Linked DNA regions of Ovis aries. The protein of the gene in region 1 binds, or shares a complex with, the protein of each later gene. Links are inferred from orthologs where the notes say so. Each region holds a gene or a part of one and is shown in the gene's direction. Other genes may lie near its edges.

The links. Proteins that work in one complex are often made in the same cells at the same time.
Region 2: GTF2F1 (region 1) and POLR2H share a complex: the UniProt entries of both Homo sapiens proteins name them as parts of the TBP-based Pol II pre-initiation complex. The link is inferred for Ovis aries from reciprocal best matches to the Homo sapiens genes GTF2F1 and POLR2H.

Annotation. Positions count from the first base shown.
Region 1 is NC_056058.1:15,923,011-15,928,808, forward strand, and holds the start of GTF2F1 (general transcription factor IIF subunit 1), read left to right. Parts: upstream 1-2,110; 5' UTR 2,111-2,522; coding exon 2,523-2,534; intron 2,535-2,618; coding exon 2,619-2,665; intron 2,666-3,149; coding exon 3,150-3,222; intron 3,223-4,420; coding exon 4,421-4,614; intron 4,615-5,430; coding exon 5,431-5,601; intron 5,602-5,798. UniProt on the Homo sapiens protein: TFIIF is a general transcription initiation factor that binds to RNA polymerase II and helps to recruit it to the initiation complex in collaboration with TFIIB. It promotes transcription elongation.
Region 2 is NC_056054.1:203,611,210-203,616,728, reverse strand, and holds POLR2H (DNA-directed RNA polymerases I, II, and III subunit RPABC3), read left to right. Parts: upstream 1-1,759; 5' UTR 1,760-1,893; coding exon 1,894-1,966; intron 1,967-2,925; coding exon 2,926-3,009; intron 3,010-3,089; coding exon 3,090-3,183; intron 3,184-3,725; coding exon 3,726-3,809; intron 3,810-4,764; coding exon 4,765-4,882; 3' UTR 4,883-5,118; downstream 5,119-5,519. UniProt on the Homo sapiens protein: DNA-dependent RNA polymerase catalyzes the transcription of DNA into RNA using the four ribonucleoside triphosphates as substrates.

The DNA of each region.
Region 1 (5,798 bases):
TGAAAGGATAAAATCCATGGGGTCTTAAAGACTCTGACACAACTTAATGACAAACAATAAACAAAGTTCACTAAGTGCGTTCACCAGGCACTCTGCCAAGCCCTTTATAGGAACGAAGTCATTCACCCCACACCCCAGCCTTCTGCTGAGGGTCCAGCTCCTCTCCCATTTTACAGTTGAGGACACAGAGGCTCAGTTGACAAAGCAGCAGCCAGTGTCCCCTGCCCTCAAGAGGCCCCTCAGCTCCTACATCCTCCTGGGAAGCCCCTCCCAATGGGCCCCCTCATCCCTCTGCTGCCGTGCCTGGGAGCTCTCACTGTTGGCACCAGGATCCCCTGCAGCATGAAGTCATGGATCTTCTGGCCCCACCAGGTGCCCCGTTGGGCCTCCTGCTGCAGCAGCTGGCCCAGCCCCATGTGGCAGAAGCCATACTTGGTTGCCATGTATTTGCACTGTGTCCCTTTTCCGCAGCCTGGACCGCCCATCACAAAGACGATCAGGGGGACTTGAGGATGTCTGCGTGCCTGAGGAAGAGGGACAGGGGAGAGGGGTTGGTGCCTGTAGGGGTCAGTTGGTGCTGAGGGGATTGTGTCCACAGTTACAATGGGTTACGCTGGACACATGTCTGCTGGAAGATCTATTTCTGCCCTAGGGTGGTATCTGGGGGTGTGTGTCCACACCCAGTGATATATCCAGGCACGGCACCCATTAATACTGCTATAGGTCATGTGGATGAGGTGTGAACCCAAGCAGGTCAGGCCCTTTGTGTGCAGCCTCTCCTCGAAGAATCACCCCTTTTACAGTTGAGGAAACTGAGGCTCTGAGACGGACAGGGACTTGTCCACCCCTCCAGTCTCATCCCATACCACCCTCCCCTTTCTTTACTGTTTCAGCCCAGTGGCCTCCTTTCAGACCCTTGTACTCATCACCTCCCTGTTGCTCCTCCCCGACCCCCACCCCTGCTGGAAGTCCATACTGCAGTCCCTTCAGGTTGCAGCTCACCCTTCAGCTAATCTCTGTCTAAAGAGCCTCCCACCCCATTGTTCCCAGTCTCAAAACCCTAATTCCCCACCACCCCACAAAAAGAATTCCATTTCCTCCAGTAATGGTCACTATCAGTAATGAGTCTGCCCGTTTACTTGTTCTTGTTTGTCTCCCCAGTCAGACTATGTACTACAAGAACACAGAATCTGTTTGTCTTCCTTGTCCCTGTATTTCTAGTACTTGGCATAGTTTCTGACATAATCGTAGCAAGTGAGGAGTAGATAAATGTCCATAACTATCAGAAACATCTATGGAGACCTGTAGTTTATAGTGCTGGCTTCCTACATTCCCCACGGACTTCCCAGAATCCAGCGCAGCAGGTGCTAAAAGTGAAAGTCAGTCAGTCAGTCAGTCAGGCGTGTCCGACTCTTTGTGACCCATGGAATTCTCCAGGCCAGAATACTGGAGTGGGTAGCCTTTCACTTCTCCAGGGGACCTTTCCAACCCAAGGATCAAACCCAGGTCTCCCGCATTGCAGGTGGATTCCTTACCAGCTGAGCCACAAGGGAAGCCCAGCAGGTGCTAACATGGATCACTGAATACCTGACCCTGAGCATGCGAAGTTGTGTTACAATAAGGTAGGGGGCCGGGAGGAAGGGCGTGTGCACACCTGGACTTGAGGAGGGGTTACCTGCATTCTCCCGCCCTCCATAACCTCCTTCCCTTCTCCCGAGTAAACCAGCCACCCCCGCGATGTTTCCCTTCTTCTGGGGCCTCAGGGGCCTGCCTATTTGGGGCAGTTTGGACTTGCACAAACCCAACCCGCCTGAGGCCCGTGGGGTGAGCGCACTCCATCCCCTACACAGGCCCTGACCTCTCCTAGTTCGGTTCAACGTCACAAGGGCCCCTGGCCCGATTATTTGGCGAGATGATAGGGCTACCCCCGGGGGCTGTGGGGAGAAATGAACCCCAAAGAGGCTCAGGTAGAGCCGCAGCAGTCGGCTGCCAAGGAGGCCTCGGTTGCTGTGGTAACGCGACCTCCCCGGACTCACTTCCGCAGTAAAGTAGCGCATGCGCAAATGGCCCGACAGGCCGCGAGGGTGGCGGGTTTCCTCCCTTCCTTCCCAAGATACCCCGCGGTCCTGAGATGTAATGTCACTGGGGGCGTCTTCACGTCACCTGTTTGGGTTATCCGCGTGATGAGGTTATCGGCCTGATGGGATTATCGTGCTATACAAACTGCGGGCCGCCAGAGCGCTAGATACAGAAGGCGCTACCTTCAGTTGGGAGTAGGTTGCTTCCCCTAGGCCTGCGGGAGGATTTCGATTCCGGTTTAGGCGGCTGCGCAGGCGCAGACTTGGCACAGGCGGTCTCAAGCCAATCGCCGACCCAGTGCCGCCTCCGGATAGCTTTCCCCAGGATCGGTTGTATCCCGGGCCGGAGACCGGACACCTCGAGGGCGGCCTCCGAGGGACGCGCACCCGGAGGGAGGCGTAAAGAAAGGTTCTGATCAGACCCGGGTCAATCGCCCATCGCCCATGGCGGCCCTCGTAAGTGTGCGGCCAGGCGGTTCGGCTGCGGTCCCGGTGGCCTCTGTAGCCTCTCACTCACTGTCCTGCTTTCTCTCCCCTCAGGGCCCCAGCAGCCAGAATGTCACTGAGTATGTCGTCCGAGTTCCCAAGTAAGTCCCTGACCCTACCAACCCCCTTTCCCTCCAGAAAAGGATTAAAATCTCGAGGTTCCAGGAGTGTCTGATTCTTCTTCCAGGGCTGGGGTTGAGCCGAGGCCTCTGGGGCATCACTGTTTTTTTAACAGAGTGAATGAATAAGTACATTAATATACAGTAACACGCAGCCTGCCTGCCTAGGATTCCCTCAGCCAGGAATGGCAACAGTGACTCTACTGGGTGGATTCTTTTTGATCCTGCGAAATTCCGTTACAGTATTTTCCTCCTTCAGGAGGCAGTCCCTGCCTGTCCACCCCGCTGCCCAGGGCTGAGTTCCCAATTATCCCATCTTGAGTTCCCAGAAATATTTGTCCTTAACTGATCTCTGGGGTTTTTTTCATGGGTCCCCAGCGTTGCCCAGCACAAAGAACTGAGCCTGGGAGGGTTTGCTGAATTAATGAATGATTAACTGAGCACTGCCTCTTTTTGCCCATACCAGAAATACCACCAAAAAATACAATATCATGGCTTTCAATGCAGCCGATAAAGTCAACCTCACTACTTGGAATCAGGTAAGTCCGAGTTCTGAGGCTGTGAGAAAACCTGACCCTGGATTTGATGTAATAGTTGCTTGGTTGTGATAGTAACTAAGGCTTAGGATCCTCCCCTCTCCCCACGTGCAGATAAATGATAACTAAGGCCCAGGCTGAGCCTCTGGGCACCCCTGAGGACAAGATATGTGTGGCCTTGCAGGAGGCTTTCTTCTGAAATTTGTGCCCACTGATGGGCATTCTGGGTCGAGATCTATCTGGGCAAGAGAGGAGGGGGCTGCCTCCTAGAGGTGACTCAGAGCCCCTATTGTTGGAGACTCCAGAGCGGTCTTTAGAAACTGTTTTAGTTGCAGGCTGCTCTAGCAGAATTCCAGAGACTGGGTGGTTTGTAAACAACAGACATTTATTTCCCACAGTTCTGGAGGCTGGAAGTCCAAGATCAGGGCGCCAGCAGATCTGGTGTCCTGGTTCATAGCTGGTGCCTTTGCACTGTACTCTCACCTGGGTACACAGCACTCTGGAATCCTTTGTTAAAGAGGGCACTTATCTCACTCCTAATAGGCTGCAGCCTCACAACCTAATCATCATCTATCAGAGGCCCCGCCCCCAAATACCATCACACCGGAAATTAGGTTATATGCATTTGGGGAGAATTCCCTGTAGATACAGCGGTTAGGACTCCAGCTAGGACTCTAGCCCATTCACTGCTGGGGGCCTAGGTTCCATCCCTGGTGGGGGAACTAAGATTCCAGAAGTCCGAGATCACAGCCAAAAAGAATGCATTTTGGAGGCATGCAAACATTCATCCATAGCAGAGGCTATTAAAGGGTTACAAACAGTCTGTAAAGAGATTTGTCCACTGTGGGGTCGAGGGCAAGTGAAGGGAGAACAGGGCGGAGGTGAAGGCTCTGGACCAGGTGAGCCTGTGATGGGGTTTGCAGCAAACAGGTTACGAGAAGTTATTGGACTCTGGGGTGTCTTTTTTTCTTTTTTTCTTTTTTAATTTTTCATTTGGAAATAACTTCAAACTTTCAAAAAGCTGCAAAAACAGACATCGCAGCGGGCTTTAGACAGATCCCTTCGCCCACATTCACAGAGCCTCTTTTCGCCAAGCGGGAAGTTGGCTCAGAGGGTCCACCGCTCAGCCTGCGGGGAGGAAGGGGTGTTGTTGGATGGGGAGCAGGCTGCCTGATGAGAAGTCTCGCCTTCCGTCTCCCAGGCCCGGCTGGAACGAGACCTGAGCAACAAGAAGATTTACCAAGAGGAGGAGATGCCGGAGTCGGGCGCCGGCAGCGAGTTCAACCGCAAGCTCCGGGAGGAGGCGCGGAGGAAGAAGTACGGCATTGTCCTCAAGGAGTTCCGGCCGGAGGACCAGCCCTGGCTGCTGCGGGTCAACGGTAAATCAGGCCGAAAGTAAGTGCCCCTTCCCGCCACTCCCCGGTACCCTTGGCCGAACTTCTAGGTCCTGCAGCTGGGGGTGACAGCTCATCCACCCATGAAGGGGTTTTCTTGGGGAAGATGAGCCAAGGGGTTGCTCGAGTGTGTGCTAGGGATGCAGGAATCCCGGCCTGCCGTCCTCCTGCGCCCAGCCAAGGACTGCCCAGAGCTGAGGGTTGAGAACCATGGGGGAGACAGAGATTAAGGGAAATGAAGGGCACTCTGGTTGAACAGCGAGCACGAAGGCGTGAAACATCGAGCCCCAGGGACTGTCACAGCGCACGACAGTGGCAGAGTGGGTGGACTGAGAGGGCTGAGAGTGCCAGGGCACAGCGGGACTGTGGGTAGGCTGGGGCCCAGGGCAGCCTGAAGGCTGTAGGTGGGGAAGGGGCACTCTGTAAGACTGCCTGCACATGGTGGGGCAGAAAAGGGGAAGGATGGAGGCCCGGAGGGAGCTGGGCTGGCAGTGGTTCAAGGAAGATTCCGGAGGGGAATCCAGAGGGGTCTGACACTAGAGCACTGTGCTCTTTAGGGCCCATCTAACAGGTCCTTCCAGAAAGGACCATGTCGTGTATAGTGCACAGGAGCCCTAAGTCTGCTCTGTGAGGGCAGGAAGCCCACCTTTTCCAGATGTGGGAATCCAGGCTCAGGCAGTCAGCGGGCCAGCCTTCCAGCCTCAGGTTTTGCTAGGAGAACCCAGATGGCCCTGGAGAGAGGGATGCAGGGGGTGTTGTCTGGATGTGGCACTAGTCCTTCTTCCCCACACAGACTGTGACCTTGAACTCCCTGCAGGTTCAAGGGCATAAAGAAGGGCGGCGTGACAGAAAACACCTCCTACTACATCTTCACCCAGTGCCCTGATGGGGCTTTCGAGGCCTTCCCTGTCCACAACTGGTATAACTTCACGCCGCTGGCCAAGCACCGCACGCTCACGGCCGAGGAGGCTGAGGAGGAGTGGGAGAGGTGAGTGATGGGGCCACGCCTAGAAAAGGGCTGCAACCCCCCGACATTGTGCCTGGCTGGGAGCTGGGGACTCAGCGGTGAGCAAGCCAGATCTCTCCACTGCTCAGGAGCACCCAGTCCAGGGGGCAGATGGACTGGAGACAGCGGGGAGAGGGACTGGAGAAGTGGGGAGTTGGATCCGGTGCTAGGGTGTCAGC
Region 2 (5,519 bases), on another chromosome or scaffold:
GGGCGGGCCGAGGGCGGTGCCCTCCGCGCTGCTCCGCCCGCCGGCCCCTCCGAGGGAGCGGGTCCTGCCCGGCCGGGGTCCTCGTAGAGGCCGCCTCCCGGGCTCGGGAGAGGTGGCAGGGGGCGCGGGCAACGCGCGAGCCCGCGACCCCACTTGGTGGAGGCCGGTGGCTGAGAGGGGCGTCCCGGGCCAGGGCGGGGGCGGGTCCGCTGGCACGTGGAGGGGCCGGACCGCGGCTGCGGCTCTGCGCGCCGGGTCGGGAGGGGCTGGACAGGCCGGGGCTCGGTAGGGCCTGGGGCGGGGGCTGCCGAGCCGTCTAAATCAGATTCGGGCCCAATCCCTCAGCGGCGGTCCCCTCTCTTGCTTCACCGGAGGGGCCAACGGCTGACTGGCCAGGAAAGGTCCCTGTGCTCTGCTGGGGGGTGAAAAACAAAGCTAGGGGAGAACTCGGAGGGGGTCGCTAGGCCCAGAAACGGAGGTTGCTTGGAATTAGGACCCTCGGTCTCTCTCATCCCCTTCCTTTCTCCTTCCCTTCTTTGCGGGTCCCCCAGGAGCACCCCCAGGGAGGTGCACTTTGAGCCACCTGGCCTTCGGCTAGTGCGGGGGGTTGGGGTGGAGATGGGGAGGGAACGGGAATGGGTGAGGCCAGAGGGAAGGGAGGTCTAGGTGCCTGGGAGGCGGGCGTGGTGGGGACAGAGGTCGCTTCTCCCTGGCAGGGCCCAAAGAGAAACCGGAGTAGGTGCTGACGTCTAGCAGCCATGGGGGAACACGGCCTGCTGGGGCTTTGTGTTCTGTATGAGGGTCCGGAGGACAGAGCAGAGGGGGTGAGCACTAGTGTATGAGCAGCGTCAGGGAGAGTGTCAGGAGAGGCCAGTGCCCAGGAAACAGGCAGTGTGCAGGAGGAGGCAGCGCCGGGGTGAAGGGGCGCGCGGGAGGTCGCAGGGGGCTCCCGGGTAAGGGAGCAGTGCCCAGGAGGGGGCCGAAGTGAGAGCTGGCACCCTAGAGGAAGGGGCAATGTAAAGAAAGAGGTGGCATCTGTAGGATAGGGTAGTGCCAGGATGAAGAAGCCCGTAGGAGAGCTTGTCTAGAAGGAGAGGACCGTGGTAGCGGAAAGGGAAGAACAGAGCTTAAGGGGCAGGGCTCGAGGAGGGCAGTGGGTTTGGGGTTAATGCCCTGCTGAAGGGGTGGTGTGAGAGAAGAGAGCAGGAAAGGGGACGGTGCAGGCTTTCCTCTTCCCCATGGTGACATCATGGCAAATTCCCAAACTGGAGGGACCCGGCTCAGGTGACATCCAGCTGGGACGAGCCGGCCCGGGCCGGCCTGGGTGCCAGCAGGAAGGGCTGGGTTTTGCGCCCAGTCGGGCCAGCGCCCTGGGGGCGGGGTGCTGCTCCCCTCACTCTCTGTGCGGACTTGCCCTCGGCGGGCACGCAGACCGGCACAGTAAGGCTCGGGCCGGGCTTCTCTGGGCCAAGGATCAAGGTCCCTGGCTGGGGCAGGCCGCTTGAGCATTCCAGTCTTCCAGACCCGGCTTCTGAAGAGGGCGCAGTAGAGCCTCGGGAGAGAGCCGGACGCGACGCCACCTCTGTCGGAGGTGGGACCCATCGTGTCGCCGCCGGGGGCGGGGTTTTCTGGACCCGAAACCAGCCCTCAATTCTGAAACCTCTGGGAAACAATCGTTCGGGGCGGAAGTTAAGAAGCCCCGAGAGCTAGGCAGCGGAAGTGGCTGCGGTACAGTTCTTCTATGCGCATGCGTTATTGTATTCCTTTGCCGCTGCCGTTTCAGCGCTGCGTCGTCTTAGCGCGCCTCTTTTCCTCCACGCGAGGGGGTGCGCTACCCCTAGTCGTCGTGGTCAGCGCGCCCAGTCCCTCTGCTACTCTCGTGGCCCCCTCACCATGGCGGGCATCCTTTTTGAGGATATTTTTGATGTAAAAGACATTGACCCGGAAGGCAAAAAGTTTGACCGAGGTAAGCAAGGTTTGGAGGGGCGGTTTCGGGGGAAGGGGCTAATCTCCTCTGGTACCCGCCCCCAGGCTGCTTGTCCACCCACTTTCGCGTGGCCTTTCCCTACCGGTGGGTCCTGGTGTGGGGACCTCTCTCGAGAAATAATTTTATAGATAAGAAAACGGAGACTCCCGAGCTCTCCCTGGTTTCACACAAGCTGTGCTCGCTGCCTGGGTGGCCTTTTCTGCTGGTGCTGGTGGACTCCAGGCATCTTTTATAATCGCTCCCCGCTCTGGACCGGGCGCTGTACTTAACACTTCGCACGCGCTTTGTCTCACTTATTTTCTTCCAGGAGTAGGCGGTGTCTTACCCATTTTGCTCTGAGAGGCTAAGCAGCCCACCCAAGGTTGTACAGTGAATAATCCGACTTCACAACCCGTTCCTCAGAGTCTTTAGCTGTTTGTAAAATCTTCTCAGAGTTTAAGAGTAGACTGCTTGGTATACACCTCTTTATTCTGTCATTTATCAATAATTGTCCTGGGTGTCTCTTCCTTTGCCTGGACACTGATAAGTTCTTCGGGACAAACACCAGTTCTTACACATCTTGATAATCAATCCCCTTAGCACAGCACCTGACACAGGAAGAGGAAACCTTAGGATGAATGAATACCTTGCCCCAAATCAGGTTATTTCTTAATCACTTAGGTTGGCCTAGAACCTGGATATTATTTATTGCCAGAGGATCTTTGATTCTTTTCTGTGGATTCTGTCCACTGGCCACAGGTTGTCTCCCCTTTCCTTCCTGCATGTGTGATTCTGATTGAGCCTGTACTTCTGTGAGAGCAGATGAGAGGCCAGTGGATACAGACTGCATTAGACTGAGTATTCTGTTGCATCCAGGCCCCTGAAGTACCTGTCTGCCCTGCCCTGTAGGGTCTGCCCTGGGCCACAGGCAGTTAACTTCTGCCACTCTTCCCCTCCAGTGTCTCGGCTGCATTGTGAGAGTGAATCTTTCAAGATGGACCTCATCCTTGATGTAAACATTCAGATTTACCCGGTAGACTTGGGTAAGTATTGAACACAAACAGCAGGAGGCTTTATGCCATCTCAGCTGGTCTCCACCCTCTGCTACCGCTGTTGTTTTCAGGTGACAAGTTCCGGTTGGTCATAGCCAGTACCTTATATGAAGATGGTACTCTGGATGATGGTGAATACAACCCCACAGATGATAGGCCTTCCAGGTGAGGGGATGGAAAAGGGAGCACCTGAAATGTGCCTGAGGACTAAGTGGATAGGTGTATAGAAAAACCCTTACTTAATTCATGAAATAAATGATTATCAGCAGACTCTGTTAGCTTAAGAAAAGTGCAGCACTTAAGAATCCAGACATCCAGGTGTTTATCCAAAGCAGTGATTACAGTGTGAGTTGTCACTTTTTGATAGTGGAGGAAATGAGCACTGAATGACCTAGGCTCTGTGGGCCTTGTGTCTTGGGAGGGAGTTTGGTGTGATGGAAAGGCTTTGGACGCCCACTCAGTTCACATCTCAGCTCTACCACTTATTTGTTGGATAACCTTAACCTCCTTCAACCTTAGTTTTTTCTCATCAATAACATTGATGGTCATACCTAGCTCACAGGGTTGCTGTGAGGATTGAATGACATCACGTTTAGAAAGTGCCTGGTGTTATGATGCTGGCGTATAGTTACCAGTTACCATTTTTTTAAAGGGCCTCTTACTTTTGTTAACTGTATTTAAGAATAACTGCCCCTATTGTTCCACAGGGCTGACCAATTTGAGTATGTCATGTATGGGAAAGTGTACAGGATTGAGGGAGACGAAACTTCTACTGAAGCAGCAACACGCCTGTAAGTTCCTTGGTCTTGTGAGAGCCCTTTCCCTTCTCATTTTGTGAGAATTTGGGCTATGCTTTGAAAATCTGGACCATCCTCAGGCTCCCTGGATTTCTTTCTTCAAGCACCTCAGACCTAGCGGGACCCAGAAAGGAACTGTTTTGGGAACAGTTTCAGTCTGAAATGTAGGCTGGTCAGTTTGCCCTCTGTCAGGATCTTAAGGCCTGTGATCTAAATGAGAAACTGTTAATCTTGCTGAGTGAAATGCCAAGGAAAGTTACTTCTCCAAGAACTAAATGCAGCATAAGTGATTAAACTGCTAGGCTTTTTTGTTTGTGTGTGTGTGTGTGTTTTGCTACTCTGCAATCCAATCCCTAGTTCTTTGGTTTCTCTGCCCAACTATTTTTTCCTTTTCTTTAAAACCTTATTAAAACAATATGTGCCCTTTGCAAGAAATTTGAAAAGCAGAAAAGTAATATGAAGAAGGAAAAAAGTCACCTATAATTCTATAACCAGAGGGAATCTTCTACATAAACATTCTTGAATGTTCTAGGTTTTTTTTTTCCTATGTACTTTTTTCTTTGAGATCATGTTGTTTATTACAATGTTTTGTTCTGTTCCATTTGCTTAATGTTATGTAAAACATGTTTCCTCATGTCAATTTAAAGCTTTTCCTAAACATTTTTTTTAAATTCCTAAACATTTTTATAGCTGTGTAACATTCCAATAAATGGATGTATCTTAATTGATTTGACCATTTCCCTTAGTTTGGTCATGGAGTATTTTCCACCTTTCTGATATAAAAAACACTGCCTTGCACATATCTGTGCCGTCATCTTTGTCTGAAATTTGGTTCCTAATGACAGAACTCTAGAAGGGTGCCTTTTTTTCTTAGGCTGGCATGGAGAGTAGCTGAGTAGCAGTTTTTGCTCTGGCACTCAGACTCACGGGACTGGGTCTTCTGTTTCAGCTCTGCCTACGTGTCCTATGGGGGGCTGCTCATGAGGCTGCAGGGTGATGCCAACAACCTGCATGGATTTGAAGTGGACTCCAGAGTGTATCTGCTCATGAAGAAACTGGCCTTCTGAACCACCCAGGAAGCTAGCCTTGCTGCTTAGTCACTCAGGTCCTGGATGTTAGTTCAACCCGAATAGCAGTTGCTGTTGTTCACCTGTTCGAAAGGGGCTGACTCTCTGTCCACCCTGAGTGCATCTTTAGCAGGTCTGGACTCAGTGGGAAACTGACTTGCCGGTGAAAGACCCAGTGGGAGAGCTTAAGATGTTTTATGTACATGATTTTTTAAATTAAACTTTACTTTTTCAGACTCTTTTCCCTTCCTTTTTAAAAAAGGTTTTCCCATTTTCAAATCATTTTTTTCAACTTGCTTGTGGTACATTACGTTTCTGGCCCATAGCCAGATGATCACGTGTCAATACAGGATCTATCCCAACCTTTCAGTATCTGGGTTCAGGATTATCTCAGGCTCCTGGCTGACCATCCCCAACATTTCCCCTCCAAGGTGATTTTCTGTGTGGGAGAGAAAGTGTTGTGCTTTTGGCTCCTGAGGGCACCACCCATTTGGCACAGAATTTTGAATAGGCAAGGAGCCTTGCTTATGTTCTTCCAACACTTTCAGTCTCTCAGGAAGTCAGATCACGTTGACTTGAATGTGTTGCCTGCATAGCCTGGATGCATTCATCATTTTTATGGAAGCTTTGAGATGAG